Regions from separate parts of the Mus musculus genome. Here region 2 is reported to be linked to region 1. Evidence: microRNA targets listed by miRTarBase, many of them from high-throughput screens and not tested one by one. Region 1 holds a microRNA gene; the other region holds the end of a gene's coding sequence. Distances are between the middles of the regions.

What was found. Region 1 holds the annotated microRNA mmu-miR-466c-5p (UGAUGUGUGUGUGCAUGUACAUAU, at 2,623-2,646, opposite strand). A microRNA usually pairs through its seed, bases 2 to 8, with sites in the 3' UTR of a target mRNA and lowers its output. Matches are read on the target gene's strand: a 7mer-m8 pairs with bases 2 to 8, a 7mer-A1 pairs with bases 2 to 7 and ends in A, and an 8mer does both.
Region 2: the mRNA of Frmd4a is a reported target of mmu-miR-466c-5p. Seed matches in the 3' UTR shown: 7mer-m8 at 4,415-4,421.

Annotation. Positions count from the first base shown.
Region 1 is chr2:10,476,994-10,484,189 of GRCm38, reverse strand. It overlaps Mir466c-1 (microRNA 466c-1), which reads right to left and starts at 2,656; the gene lies at 2,573-2,656. All of the region lies in intron 10 of Sfmbt2 (Scm-like with four mbt domains 2), which reads right to left. It overlaps Mir669g (microRNA 669g), which reads right to left and starts at 7,040; the gene lies at 6,918-7,040. Mir669j (microRNA 669j) reads right to left here and starts at 6,280; the gene lies at 6,160-6,280. It also overlaps Mir467a-2, Mir466e, Mir669a-4, Mir467b, Mir669a-5 and Mir467a-3, and 1 more gene.
Region 2 is chr2:4,610,377-4,617,890 of GRCm38, reverse strand. It overlaps Frmd4a (FERM domain containing 4A), which reads right to left. Exons shown (of 23, transcript NM_172475.3): 23 at 3,848-6,924. The coding sequence ends at 6,822. Among named protein-coding and RNA genes, the nearest start is that of Gm13179, 20 kb to the right of the region's middle.

The sequences.
Region 1 (7,196 bases):
GAGGAATCACAGGCTGATCTCTCATGAGGATAAGTGTAAATTTGAACTCCTGATACTCTTAACTCTAGCAAGCATTTTCACTCTAAGTCACTTATCATTCAAATGGATTGACGAGTGCCATTCCCCTGTGTCTGTGTGCTCATATGTGTCTTATGTGTGCGTGTATGTATATGTATATCATATTCACATATGTACATGCACACACACATCAACACATATACACATACGTAGGGGCAATCACATGAATGCCAGGATGACCTCTAACTCATCATGCCTTTACTATGAACTTGCACTCCTGATCTTCCCGACTCTACCAAGGGTTTTCCCGTGGTTTGTGAGACCTCACCCTGGCCCAGTCATACATAACCTCCAAAGCAGTAGGTCACATATCATTCAAATGGATCCGTGAAGGCCATTTCCGCATGTCTGTGTGCATGTGTGTGTAGGTGTGTGTATGTATATGCATAAAATATACACGCATATACATGCAGGCACTTACGCACACGGGCACATACATAGGGGCCATCACATTATTCCAGGATGATCTCTAACTGCTCATGAAGTTAAGCATGAAATTGAACTCCTGATCCTCCTGACACTGCCAATTATTTACACCTGGTGAGTGAGACCTTCACTGTCCCTCTACTTTATAATCAGCAAAATTCTAAGACATATATCATTCAAATGGATCAATGAGTGTCATTCTTATGTGTGTGAGTGTGCACGCCTGTGTGTGTGAATACATTTGTATGTGTGTGTATTTATATGTATGATCATATACACACATGTACGTGCACACACAATTATATGCACTTGTGCATACCTAGGATCCATCACACAAATACAGGGTGATCTCTAACTCATTATGAAGTTAAGCATGAATTTGAACTCCTGAGACTCCTAACTCTGGCAAGTGGTTTTCATCTGATAAGTGAGATTATTCCCTATACCATGAATATACACTCAATGAAATTATAAGCACGTATAAATCAAATGGATGACTGCCATGTGTGTTTGTGTGCACATGTATGTGTCCCTAGTTGTGTGGGTGTGTATACATATATATATATATATATATATATGCATGTTCATATACGCGCATGTACAGGCATACTTCCCTATACACATAAACACAAACACAGGGAAAATCACATGAATTCCGGGCTGATCTCTAACTCATCATAAAGTTAAACATGAATTTGAACTACTCATCCTCATGATGCTGGCAAGAGTATTCACCTCCTAACTGTGTCATAGCTCAGGCCATTCGAGGGAGTATGTTTGCATGTGAGTATATGCATATTCATATACAGAAGTGAATATGTACACAACTATACACACATGCACATTCTGGTGGGCATCACATGAATCGCATACTGAACTCTAACTCATCATGAAGTTAAACATAAATTTGAATTCCTCATCCTCCTGACACTGGCAAGAGTACTCACCTCCTAACTGAGACATAGCTCTGGCCATTCCTATGAATGTGTGTGCATGTGTGTATATGCATATTCATATAGAGAAGTGAATATGCACACAACTATACACACATGCAAATTTTTGGTGGGCATAAGATGAATCCCATGCTGGTCATGAACTCATCATGAAATTCAGCACAAATTTGAACTCCTGATCAACCTGACTCTGTGAAGGGACTTCACCTGCTGAGTGAGACCTCTCCCCATTCAGTACTGAGGAATCTTAAAACTCTAAGTCACACGTCATTCAAATGGATCGATGAGTTGCACTGATGTTTGTGTGTGTGTTTCTGTTTGTGTCTGTGTACATGTATATATTTGTGTAGATAGGTACATCCATATACTCAAATCCACACACAATAGAAACAGATACAGATAGAGATACATAGGGGGCATCACATGAATCCCAGGCATATCTTAAAGTCATCATGAAGTAAAGCATGAATTTGAACTCCTGATCCACAATCTGTCACACCTGGTGAGTAAAACCATTCACTGTCCCAAACTGCATAATCTAAAACTTTAAGTCACATATCATTCAAACGTATAAATGAATGCAATTTTTTTCTCTGTGTCTGTACTTGCATATACACGTGTGTTTATATTTTGAATATCATGTCAACAGAGGCAATGCATATACAAGTAAACACACATGCACATACATGGGTGGCCTCATATGAATACCAGGATGACCTCTAACTGAATTAAGCATGAATTTGCAATCCTTATCCTCCTGACTTTGTCAATCTTTTACACCTGGTGGGTGAGGTCATTCAATGTCCCCTATTGCATAATCTCTAAAACTCTACATCACTTATCATTCTAAGGGATTGGCGAATGCCATTCCTGTGTCTGTGTATGTGTGCTTGCGTTTATACGTGTGTGTGTATGTTATGTATATTCAAATATAGACATGAACATGCACACACAACTATACACACATGCACATACATGGAGGAATCACAGGCTGATCTCTCATGAGGATAAGTGTAAATTTGAACTCCTGATACTCTTAACTCTAGCAAGCATTTTCACTCTAAGTCACTTATCACTCAAATGGATTGATGAGTGCCATTCCCCTGTGTCTGTGTGCTCATATGTGTCTTATGTGTGCGTGTATGTATATGTATATCATATTCACATATGTACATGCACACACACATCAACACATATACACATACATAGGGGCAATCACATGAATGCCAGGATGACCTCTAACTCATCATGCCTTTACCATGAACTTGCACTCCTGATCTTCCTGACTCTATCAAGGGTTTTCCCGTGGTTTGTGAGACCTCACCCTGGCCCAGTCATACATAACCTCCAAAGCAGTAGGTCACATATCATTCAAATGGATCCGTGAGGGACATTCCCGCATGTCTGTGTGCATGTGTGTGTTGGTGTGTGTATGTATATGCATAAAATATACACGCATATACATGCAGGCACTTACGCACACGGGCACATACAAAGGGGCCATCACATTATTCCAGGATGATCTCTAACTGCTCATGAAGTTAAGCATGAAATTGAACTCCTGATCCTCCTGACACTGCCAATTGTTTACACCTGGTGAGTGAGACCTTCACTATCCCTCTACTTTATAATCAGCAAAATTCTAAGACATATATCATTCAAATGGATCAATGAGTGTCATTCTTATGTGTGTGAGTGTGCATGCCTGTGTGTGTGAATACATTTTATATGTGTGTGTATTTATATGTATGATCATATACACACATGTACGTGCACACACAATTATATGCACTTTTGCATACCTAGGATCCATCACACAAATACAGGGTGATCTCTAACTCATTATGAAGTTAAGCATGAATTTGAACTCCTGAGACTCCTAACTCTGGCAAGTGGTTTTCATTTGATAAGTGAGATTTTTCCCTATACCATGAATATACACTCAATGAAACTCAAAGCACGCATAAATCAAATGGATGACTGCCATGTGTGTTTGTGTGCACATGTATGTGTCCCTAGTTGTGTGTGTGTGTGTGTATACATATATACATATATATACATATATATATATGCATGTTCATATACGCGCATGTACAGGCATACTTCCCTATACACATAAACACAAACACAGGGAAAATCACATGAATTCCGGGCTGATCTCTAACTCATCATAAAGTTAAACATGAATTTGAACTACTCATCCTCATGATGCTGGCAAGAGTATTCACCTCCTAACTGAGTCATAGCTCGGGCCATTCGTGGGAATATGTTTGCATGTGAGTATATGCATATTCATATACAGAAGTGAATATATACACAACTATACACACATGCACATTCTTGGTGGGCATCACATGAATCGCATACTGAACTCTAACTCATCATGAAGTTAAACATAAATTTGAATTCCTCATCCTCCTGACACTGGCAAGAGTACTCACCTCCTAACTGAGACATAGCTCTGGCCATTCCTATGAATGTGTGTGCATGTGTGTATATGCATATTCATATAGAGAAGTGAATATGCACACAACTATACACACATGCAAATTTTTGATGGGCATAAGATGAATCCCATGCTGGTCATGAACTCATCATGAAATTCAGCACAAATTTGAACTCCTGATCCACCTGACTCTGTCAAGGGATTTCACCTGCTGAGTGAGACCTCTCCCCATTCAGTACTGAGGAATCTTAAAACTCTAAGTCACACGTCATTCAAATGGATCGATGAGTTGCACTGATGTTTGTGTGTGTGTTTCTGTTTGTGTCTGTGTACATGTATATATTTGTGTAGATAGGTACATCCATATACTCAAATCCACACACAATAGAAACAGATACAGATAGGGATACATAGGGGCATCACATGAATCCCAGGCATATCTTAAAGTCATCATGAAGTAAAGCATGAATTTGAACTCCTGATCCACAATCTTTCACACCTGGTGAGTAAAACCATTCACTGTCCCAAACTGCATAATCTAAAACTTTAAGTCACATATCATTCAAACGTATAAATGAATGCAATTTTTTTCTCTGTGTCTGTACTTGCATATACACGTGTGTTTATATTTTGTATATCATGTCAACAGAGGCAATGCATATACAAGTAAACACACATGCACATACATGGGTGGCCTCACATGAATACCAGGATGATCTCTAACTGAATTAAGCATGAATTTGCAATCCTTATCCTCCTGACTTTGTCAATCTTTTACACCTGGTGGGTGAGACCATTCAATGTCCCCTATTGCATAATCGCTAAAACTCTACATCACTTATCATTCAAAGGGATTGGCGAATGCCATTCCTGTGTCTGTGTATGTGTGCTTGCGTTTATACGTGTGTGTGTATGTTATGTATATTCAAATATAGACATGAACATGCACACACAACTATACACACATGCACATACATGGAGGAATCACAGGCTGATCTCTCATGAGGATAAGTATGAATTTGAACTCCTGATACCCTTAACTCTAGCAAGCATTTTCACTCTAAGTCACTTATCACTCAAATGGATTGATGAGTGCCATTCCCATGTGTCTGTGTGCTCATATGTGTCTTATGTGTGCGTGTATGTATATGTATATCATATTCACATATGTACATGTACACACACATCAACACATACACACATACATAGGGGCAATCACATGAATGCCAGGATGACCTCTAACACATCATGCCTTTACCATGAACTTGCACTCCTGATCTTCCCGACTCTACCAAGGGTTTCCCGTGGTTTGTGAGACCTCACCCTGGCCCAGTCATACATAACCTCCAAAGCAGTAGGTCACATATCATTCAAATGGATCCGTGAGTGCCATTCCCGCATGTCTGTGTGCATGTGTGTGTAGGTGTGTGTATGTATATGCATAAAATATACACGCATATACATGCAGGCACTTACGCACACAGGCACATACATAGGGGCCATCACATTATTCCAGGATGATCTCTAACTGCTCATGAAGTTAAGCATAAAATTGAACTCCTGATCTTCCTGACACTGCCAATTGTTTACACCTGGTGAGAGAGAATATTCACTGTCCCTCTACTTTATAATCAGCAAAATTCTAAGACATATATCATTCAAATGGATCAATGAGTGTCATTCTTATGTGTGTGAGTGTGCATGCCTGTATGTGTGAATACATTTGTATGTGTGTGTATTTACAGGGATGATCATATATACACATGTACGTGCACACACAATTATATGCAAATGTACATAACTAGGGTCGATCCCACAAATCCAGGGTGATCTCTAACTCATCATGAAGTTAAGCATGAATTTGACCTCCTGAGACTCCTAACTCTGGCAAACAGTTTTCATTTGATAAGTGAGATTTTTCCCTATACCATGAATATAAACTCAATGAAACTCTAAGCACGTATAAATCAAATGGATGACTGCCATGTGTGTTTGTGTGCACATGTATGTGTCCCTAGTTGTGTGTGTGTGTATATATATATATATGTATGTATATATATATATATATATATATATATATGCATGTTCATATACGTGCATGTACAGGCATACTTCCCTATACACATAAACACAAACACAGGGAAAATCTCATGAATTCCGGGCTGATCTCTAACTCATCAAAAAGTTAAACATGAATTTGAACTGCTCATCCTCATGATGCTGGCAAGAGTATTCACCTCCTAACTGAGTCATAGCTCGGGCCATTCGTGGGAGTATGTTTGCATGTGAGTATATGCATATTCATATACAAAAGTGAATATGTACACAACTATACACACATGCACATTCTTGGTGGACATCACATGAATCGCATGCTGAACTCTAACTCATCATGAAGTTAAACATGATTTTGAACTCCTCATCCTCCTGACACTGGCAAGAGTGCTCACCTCCTAACTGAGACATAGCTCTGGCCATTCCTATGAATGTGTGTGCATGTGTGTATATGCATATTCATATAGAGAAGTGAATATGCACACAACTATACACACATGCACATTTTTGGTGGGCATAAGATGAATCCCATGCTGGTCATGAACTCATCATGAAATTCAGCACGAATTTGAACTCCTGATCCAACTGACTCTGTCAAGGGATTTCACCTGCTGAGTGAGACCTCTCCCCATTCAGTACTGAGGAATCTTAAAACTCTAAGTCACACGTCATTCAAATGGATCGATGAGTTGCACTGATGTTTGTGTGTGTGTTTCTGTTTGTGTCTGTGTACATGTATATATTTGTGTAGATAGGTACATCCATATACTCAAATCCACACACAATAGAAACAGATACAGATAGGGATACATAGGGGGCATCACATGAATCCCAGGCATATCTCTAAGTCATCATGTAGTAAAGCATGCATTTGAACTCCTGATCCACAATCTTTCACACCTGGTGAGTAAAACCATTCACTGTCCCACTACTGCATAATCTTGAAAACTTTAAGTCACATATCATTCAAACGTATAAATGAATGCAATTTTTCCTGTGTGTGTGTGCTTGCAGATACACGTGTGTTTATGTTATGTATATCATGTCAACACATACAATGCACATACAAGTAAGCACACATGCACATAAATGGGTTGCATGACATTAATACCAAGATGTCTCCAAATGAAGTTAAGCATGAATTTGCAATCCTTATCCTCCTGACTTTGTCAATCTTTTACACCTGGTGAGTGAGGCCATTCAATGCCCCCTATTGCATAATCTCTAAAACTCTACAT
Region 2 (7,514 bases), 5.9 Mb from region 1:
CTTAGTTTGTGTTCACCCGATGATAACCCAGTTGAAACACCTCTACTGTACATTTCCTTTTAGGAAGGCTCTAATCAAGACAGACTTCATGCCTGTTGTCTCCTGTTGAGTTTTGTACATTTTCTTGCTTAAATGAATTTTTAAATTCATTTAAAAATTGAATTTATTTAATTTTTATTAAAGAATTATTTATTTTATGTATATGAGTACACTATAGCTGTCCTCAGATACACCAGAAGAGGGCATTGGATCCAATTACAGACAGTTGTGAGCCACCATGTGGTTGCTGAAAATTGAACTCAGGACCTCTGGAAGAGTAGTCAATGCCCTTAACCACTGAGCCATCTCTCCAGCCCCTCTTGCTAGTTTATACTTATGTATACATTCTTATGGACATAGATGTTGTACTATGGCTGAGGCCAATTGTTGTGCTAATTGTTAATGGGAAGGAACAAATCTCATGCCCAGCTTGGATATTGATATAATCTTTTCAGCTATCTTTGAGTAGGGACCCCATTAAAAAATCATTTCATTTGGTAATCTTTTAAAAACATTTATAGACTTATTTTTATGTCCATGAGTATTTTTCCAGCATGTAGTTAAGCTTACTGCACTTGGGCAGTGCTTATGGAAGTCAGAACAGTATCTGATCCCAGGGAAGTAGAGGTACAGATGGTTTGAGTTGCTGCGTGGGTGCTGGGAAGTGAATCTGGGTCCTTTGTAAGAGCACCAAGCGCTCTTAATCACTGACTCATCCCAGCCTGTATGCCAATTTTAATGAAACTTTTTTTCTCTTTCTTTAACGGTGTCATCATAGTGGCATTCCTACAAGCATGGGATTTCAGAGAAGGGAACTGAATTTTTGCACTTTCTGTAAAATCCTAGTGTTTCGTTACGTATTCGTTCATTTGTATTTGTGTGTCTGTGACGTAAGCTCACGTGTGTGGGAGCTTGCACGCCTATGCACATTAGTGAAGGCAGAAGAGCACTTCCTACTCCTGTGAGCAGTCTCTCTCTGATTCTGGGACTCTTGTATGAAGCTTTGAGGTTGCTGCATCCTGACTCCCCTTTTCCTGTCTCATGTAGCTGTGGCCTTAACCTTATTCTCACACTAGTTGAATTTGGAAGCACTCTTAAGCACTGTAAGTGTACCAGCATTCTTCCTTAGCAGACGTGGTGGAAATGGCATTACTCTTTCCGTCTCGGGCTAAATCTTCTACTGTGCCTGCTTTCCTGCCCCTCTCTGGTAAATGATTCAGTTTTTATTTTCTTCCTCTTTCCCACAATGCAGTATAAATCTCACAAGGATGGACATTCATATCTGTTTTGTTTACTGCAGATGTGGGAAGAAAAAGAGCCATCAGGGATAATTACAAGATCTTTGACCTGAGCCCTAGGAAGATGGCACTTCCTCTAAGTTGAGGGTGGCCATTGGAGCATGTTTGGAGGGGGAAATCAAGAGTTAGGTTTTTGACATCTCGCTGTTGAAGAGGCAATAGGAAGTACAGATTGAAAGAAGAGCCCCAGAATGGATGGAAAGTGCTGGTGTCGCCAGCAGAAAGGTGACACAGCAAACCAGGAGAGCAGTGTGTTATGGTTGGAATCGGAAATGTTCTCAGGAGGCTTGTGTGTTTGAACACGTGGTCCCTAGATGGCTATGCTCTGTGGGATCTTTGGGATGTGGGGCCTTTGTGATATAAGTAGTTCACTAGGGAGTGATCTTTGAAGTTTATATGTGCCTCTTGTTCCAGTTTTGCGTTTTGTGTTCTGGTCAGCCAAGAATCAGGGTACGTTTACTTGCAAGGACCTGGTACTACCCTTTGCCTGCTAAACCAGAGTCAAATAAAACCTTCCCTGAGGTGGTTTCTCTCAGGTACTTTATAATAGTGATGAGAAAATACAGGGAGCCAAGAGTAAGAGAGTCCAAACAAACATAGTGGTGTGAAGAAGTTATCTCAGTAGAGTAAGGAACACTGTCTACATTCAGTGCCTGATGGTAAGCTGCATAAAATGACAAAAGGGAGCTGTTGGCATCACAAGGCGTCCATCTTGATGACTCGGCTAGGTGAAGCGGAGGGGAGGAGTGCATGACTGGAGTGAGTTTTAGGGAAAATGGGTACCAGAAAGAGAAGCAAAAGTAACCTACTACTGGCTTATAAGGATAACATCTTATAAAATGTGCTTCTACGAAGAATAAAAAACACCCATGTGCGTGCATGTGCGTGTACACCAATTATTCTAGAATACCAATTATTATCTACACTATTGCCTTGGCTGAATAGAAGTGACTTTGCTGGCAGTGTGACTTAGTGTAAACCAGGCAGTTATATATTATACCTCAGTGGCTGTCATCTCAGAGAGGCCAACTCCTTGCGCAAGGTCTGAGTGAGAGCCCCTGTATGTTAGTGTCCTTGGGAATTGGCTTAAGCTCCTCCCAGTTTAATGCTGCTAGAGTTCCTCACCCTTTAAATCTCTATCCTGTGCTGCTTTTTCTGATTCACAAGCACCTAAGACTGAGCACACGGATTCTGTACCAAGTGTGCAGGGCCTTGACAGAGGCCACTGGCTGCTCACAGCCTTCAAGTGGATCTGTACACTCTGGGGAGAGTTTTGTGTGTCTTTTAACAGTTATTCTGGGAAGTCAGGGACTGAATATTTTTAATATTTTCTACAGGATCAGGGTGTTTACTTTGTGTTCTCCAGGAATCAAGATAAAAATGAGAGTTATTATGTTGACATTATGTGAGAGGCAGAAGTAGGGGTGTGTGTGAGTGTGTGTGTGTGTGTGTGTGTGTGAGTGTGTGTGTGTGTGTGTGAGTGTGTGTGTGTGTGTGTGTGTGTGTGTGTGTGTGTGTGTGTGAGTGTGTGTGTGTGTGTGTGTGTGTGTGTGTGTGAGTGTGTGTGTGTGAGTGTGTGTGTGTGTGAGTGAAGCTAAATTCCAGTTGCTTTCCTTTGACGGATCTTAGAGCACAGGCTCATTTTGGCATCTTTATGTATAACATGTTTACAAGAGGCCTTTTTTGTTTCAAGTATAGATTATTTTGGGACAGTGTGATAGTGCCCTAAGCAGTTTCCCAGACAGTTGCCAGAGTTCAGGAAGTAGGAAACACTGTTCTATCTGCTTACTTTCAGACAGGTCCAGCTTCTTCGTGCATCGTTGCTCTTATTGGCAGGCTCTAGCCCCTTGTCAGGAAGGGCTTTCCATGTAGGGTGTTCCTGGAGGCTAGCCTTTCAGTTTCCTGCTAGGAAAGAGCTGTCTGTCAGGTGACAACAGGCCAGGGATACAATTGCAGTGATCTGCTAATGCATGCCAGTAGCCGTATGCTTAGGAAAGAGCTGTCTGTCAGGTGACAACAGGCCAGGGATACAATTGCAGTGATCTGCTAATGCATGCCAGTAGCCGTATGCTTAGGAAAGAGCTGTCTGTCAGGTGACAACAGGCCAGGGATACAATTGCAGTGATCTGCTAATGCATGCCAGTAGCCGTATGCTGTAATTGGGGGACTTTTGTAACTGTAACTGGCTATTGTCCAGGTGATATGATTTAGAGGGTAGATGATTTATAGCAAAGAACTGGCCTCTCTACCACGGCAACAATACCAGGTGTACTTGGGTGTGTGTGGTGGTGTGCGCCCGCACTTGGGCTGGAGGCAAAAAGATTGTGATTTTAAAGCTGTTGTGCAGAATGAGACTGTTTTAAAGAACAAGCCAAACCCAAAAGGTATGCCATAGGTAGGCTGATGTTTATGGAAAAAAAAAAAGTTCATTATCTTCTTGATATGTAGATTTCTGGAGCGTGGTTACATGTTTATCGTTTAGAAACAAAGTGTCCAAGAGGCAACTGGGGTGTTTTCATTTTGAAAATGCTTTAATAAGTGTTGACAACACTGTTCTGCAAAATGTAAAGGTACTATACAAATTCTTAATACAAAAAGAATAAATTAAAAGCAGATTTCCTTTTTTTTTTAATTCTGCAACTTTGTCTACAACATACATCTTTGTCATTGATTACAGTTGAACAGAATCCAGTAAAATCATTTTACATGCTCTACAGTCAGTTTCAGGAGCAACCTAATCTTACCACCCCCCCAATTATTAAACTAGAGTCCGTTTTACACAACTTGTAATAAACTATTGACATGAATGGATATGTAAAACTTTACACCTAGTTAACTAAGCAGTAATTGGTCATCTGATAGCACCTGGGTGAGGCTTGCTATATTTAGAACTAAACTAATACTGGATGAAAACAAATTGGGCTTTGAACACTCCAACACTCACCTGCATATAACAAAATAAACCAACCTGGCTCACAACATAGTCTTCTGGCTGAAACAAGCAATTTCTTACATGTATCCAACGAATCCAATAGGGGCTTTAAACTGGGGACTTCATCTCCCTTAAAAGAAACAGGGATGTGTAAAGAATCTGCAGGTGCTTGGATACAATACCTAGAGCGTTCATCACCAACCACAGCGACCATTTATTATGTCAGTCTCAAAGGACTAATGCGTATTATATTATGTACAGTGTATTAACCGAACACAGCTAAACAGTAAAACCTGTTTTACTTAAATCTCTGTCCTTACTGCCAGACTATCGTGATGGTGTTCACAGCTCCCATTCCGTTTCCCTCTGCTCCCCAAATCTATTACATTTAGATTCTTTCTGCATCTCTCATAGATCCGAAGGACTTCAGAATCAATTTTCAAACTGCTGTCTCTGTTATAACCTGTAACCATGTAACCTTGTCTTGTTCTTTGTTTCCTTTTGGACGTTTTCTGTTCAGGCAAATTATTCAGGCATCTCCTTTTGGAAGAAAGAAAATGGGGCACAATGTGTCACATTTCCATTAGCTAAGGAAGGAAGAAATAGTCCCCAAATAAACCTGCTTTATGTAGCTCCGACTATCATACTAGGAGCAAGAAAGGTAGCCCCGTCTCCACGGAGCCCCAGGGTCATTTTGTACCATCATATCCCGTCCCCACTCACCCTACAGGGTTATCCCTCAAGTGTCTGGGAAGAGTACTGCTTCTGGAAGCTGGGCTCATCACGCCAACCATGCCCAGCTCTGGGGTACCCAGCCTTGAATGGGAGAGAAAAGGCCTCAGGCCACATGGGATGAATGCTCCCACTTGACTTCCAGAGGTTTCCAAGCCACTGCAAAGTGAGGGTCAGTCCTTTCTGCTGTTCATTTCTTACCTTCCCAGTCTGGTAATGTCTATTGTTATTCTTGGATTTAAATACATGAGGAAGTTTTTTTCTTTTGATGCCACAGCCAACTTTTAGATTTGCTTTCTTCCCACCCTGGCTCCTGGTCCTAGATGTCTTCCCCACAGGAAGTCATGACAAGGTAACCCCTGCAAGCCACACTACCTCCACAGAGACTCTTGTGCCATCGTTAGTGCCATGCCCCACTAAGACTGTGCACTGGTTAGTTAGTATAGAAGTGGTTCTGAGGCCTTTGGAGATTGATGGCTTTTTGGTTGTGTGTTAAGCATAGCTCAAAACACATGTAAACAAGCAGCTTGCACGCGTGCTTTTATGTTTTTTGCCTTTTATCCTCTTGGTATCTGTGGACGGAGGTGGTGTATCGAGGTCACAGATACTGCTGGAGGGGTCTGGGCCCTTTGGGAGCTGAGTTGTTGCAACTCTGCTCTGCCTGCCAACTGGTAGACGTGTGTAAAAAGTCTTCCTACCTAAGGGCGTACGTGAGTTCTCTGACTAAGCGACACACAGGCGAGGTCTGTCCGAGTGCACACAAGTGTTAACAAACATAAAATGAACCACAACGGTAAAACACTTGAGTAGATTGCAATGTGCTTTTTCCCTTGGTTTCCCAAAAACAAAAACTGAAAGGCCTTGTACAAAACAGAAAGGTTACACTTTTACTGGTGGTTTTAACGAGAGAACTGCTTTTGGCTATGGTCACCGTTGGCTTCCTCCCCATCCCAAAAGGAAGGAAGCTTTGGGGGCGTAGGCTGAAGCCCCTGCATAGGGCAGTCCTAATGGTACCCTGCTCCTCCCATGTCCAGACAGATAGAGTCCGAGTCTGCCAGGCCAGCCGAGCCTCCTTCATCTTCACTGTCCCGTTGGGTTTGTTCCCAGCTCTCAGGAGTGCTCCAGGAGAAGGGTCACGACAGGACGTGGTCTAAGATGGTTGACTTTCACTTGTGCTGCGTAGGAGCAGTTTAGAATTGAAATTTCGCTGCAGAAAAAGTGTGTTCCTCTTGGCCCCTCCTATCTGTTCATTGTTGAATGTGTCTAATCTTTGGCAGCATAGAACCAACTGTGATCCTCTGATGCGTCTCTGAAGCACCAGTCTTCTTTCTCACACGTCCCCTTAGGAGCTCTTGCTGGCTGTCTCACTATGGCAGATTTATTTCAGGTGTAAACTGATATCCCCTGAGCACTCTCCTCTAGAAGCACTCGGCCGGCCTATAGGGTGGCAGCCAGAAACAGCTTCAGTATCTGCAGGCAGGGCTAGCTTTTTTCTTGTTCTCTTCTACAGGAATTGCATGTGTTGGCTTTCCTGACAGTTTGTGGCCTGGGTATCATGGCAGACGGAAACCACCAAGGTGCCATTGAGGATTGTTGTCTGGCTCTCTGGGCAAGAGAGCCAGGGGACACACAGTGGGTTCGGAACCTTCCAGAATGTCTCCTCAGTCAGGTTTTTGAGGGTGAAAGGGATGTGGAGACAGGAGAAGAAAAGTGCTGAGGGCCGAAGCTGGTGCAGGTGACAGTGCATCTGGGTAAGGCAAATGAGAGGCAGTGAGGTGACTTGGAATGGCGTGGCGGTGGTCACATCCAGCCTGGCCGGCTCACACGAGGGTCCCGGGCTTGGCTTTTTCCTGCCCGTACCATTGGACATCAGCTAGCTCTGGATAGAGGGAGGAATCCAGGAAGCAGCTGTCACTGTAGCTCCTGTGGATCCGAGAGAGAGAGAGAGAGAGAGAGAGAGAGAGAGAGAGAGAGAGAGAGAGAACCAGAGTTAGAGTACTACAGAATGAATGTTAGGATGCATGAGTCACATGCTCTCTACAGATGAGCTGTCTTCCCTGCCCCACATAGGTGAGGCTTGCCAATCTCCATTACGTTTGGTATACGAAAGGCGTCCAGAGACCATAAGAGTAGCACAAAAGGGACCTCCTGAAACCTCGGCAATGCAAGTTAACGCTCGATACAGTCGTCCTCAGGGTCATGTGGGAACCTCAGAAATGCTCACGTCCAGGCCCGAGTCAGGGCCTGCTGCTATTTGCTTGGGGGCCCTTCCCAGTCCCACAGGATTTTCAGATGCAGCCCAGGCTGAGAAGCCCGTGGAACTGTACACCTCGGGGTGACTTCCTACATGACAGCCAGGGGTGTACACCTCGGGGTGACTTCCTACATGACAGCCAGGGGCTTGCTTTACAGCAGACCTAAGGGCTAACGCTTCTGTGGTAAATTATCACTGTCCTGGAAGAACAGTAAAAACGTGAGCCTTCCCTAGAGTAACACTAAAGTGATGCTCTAGA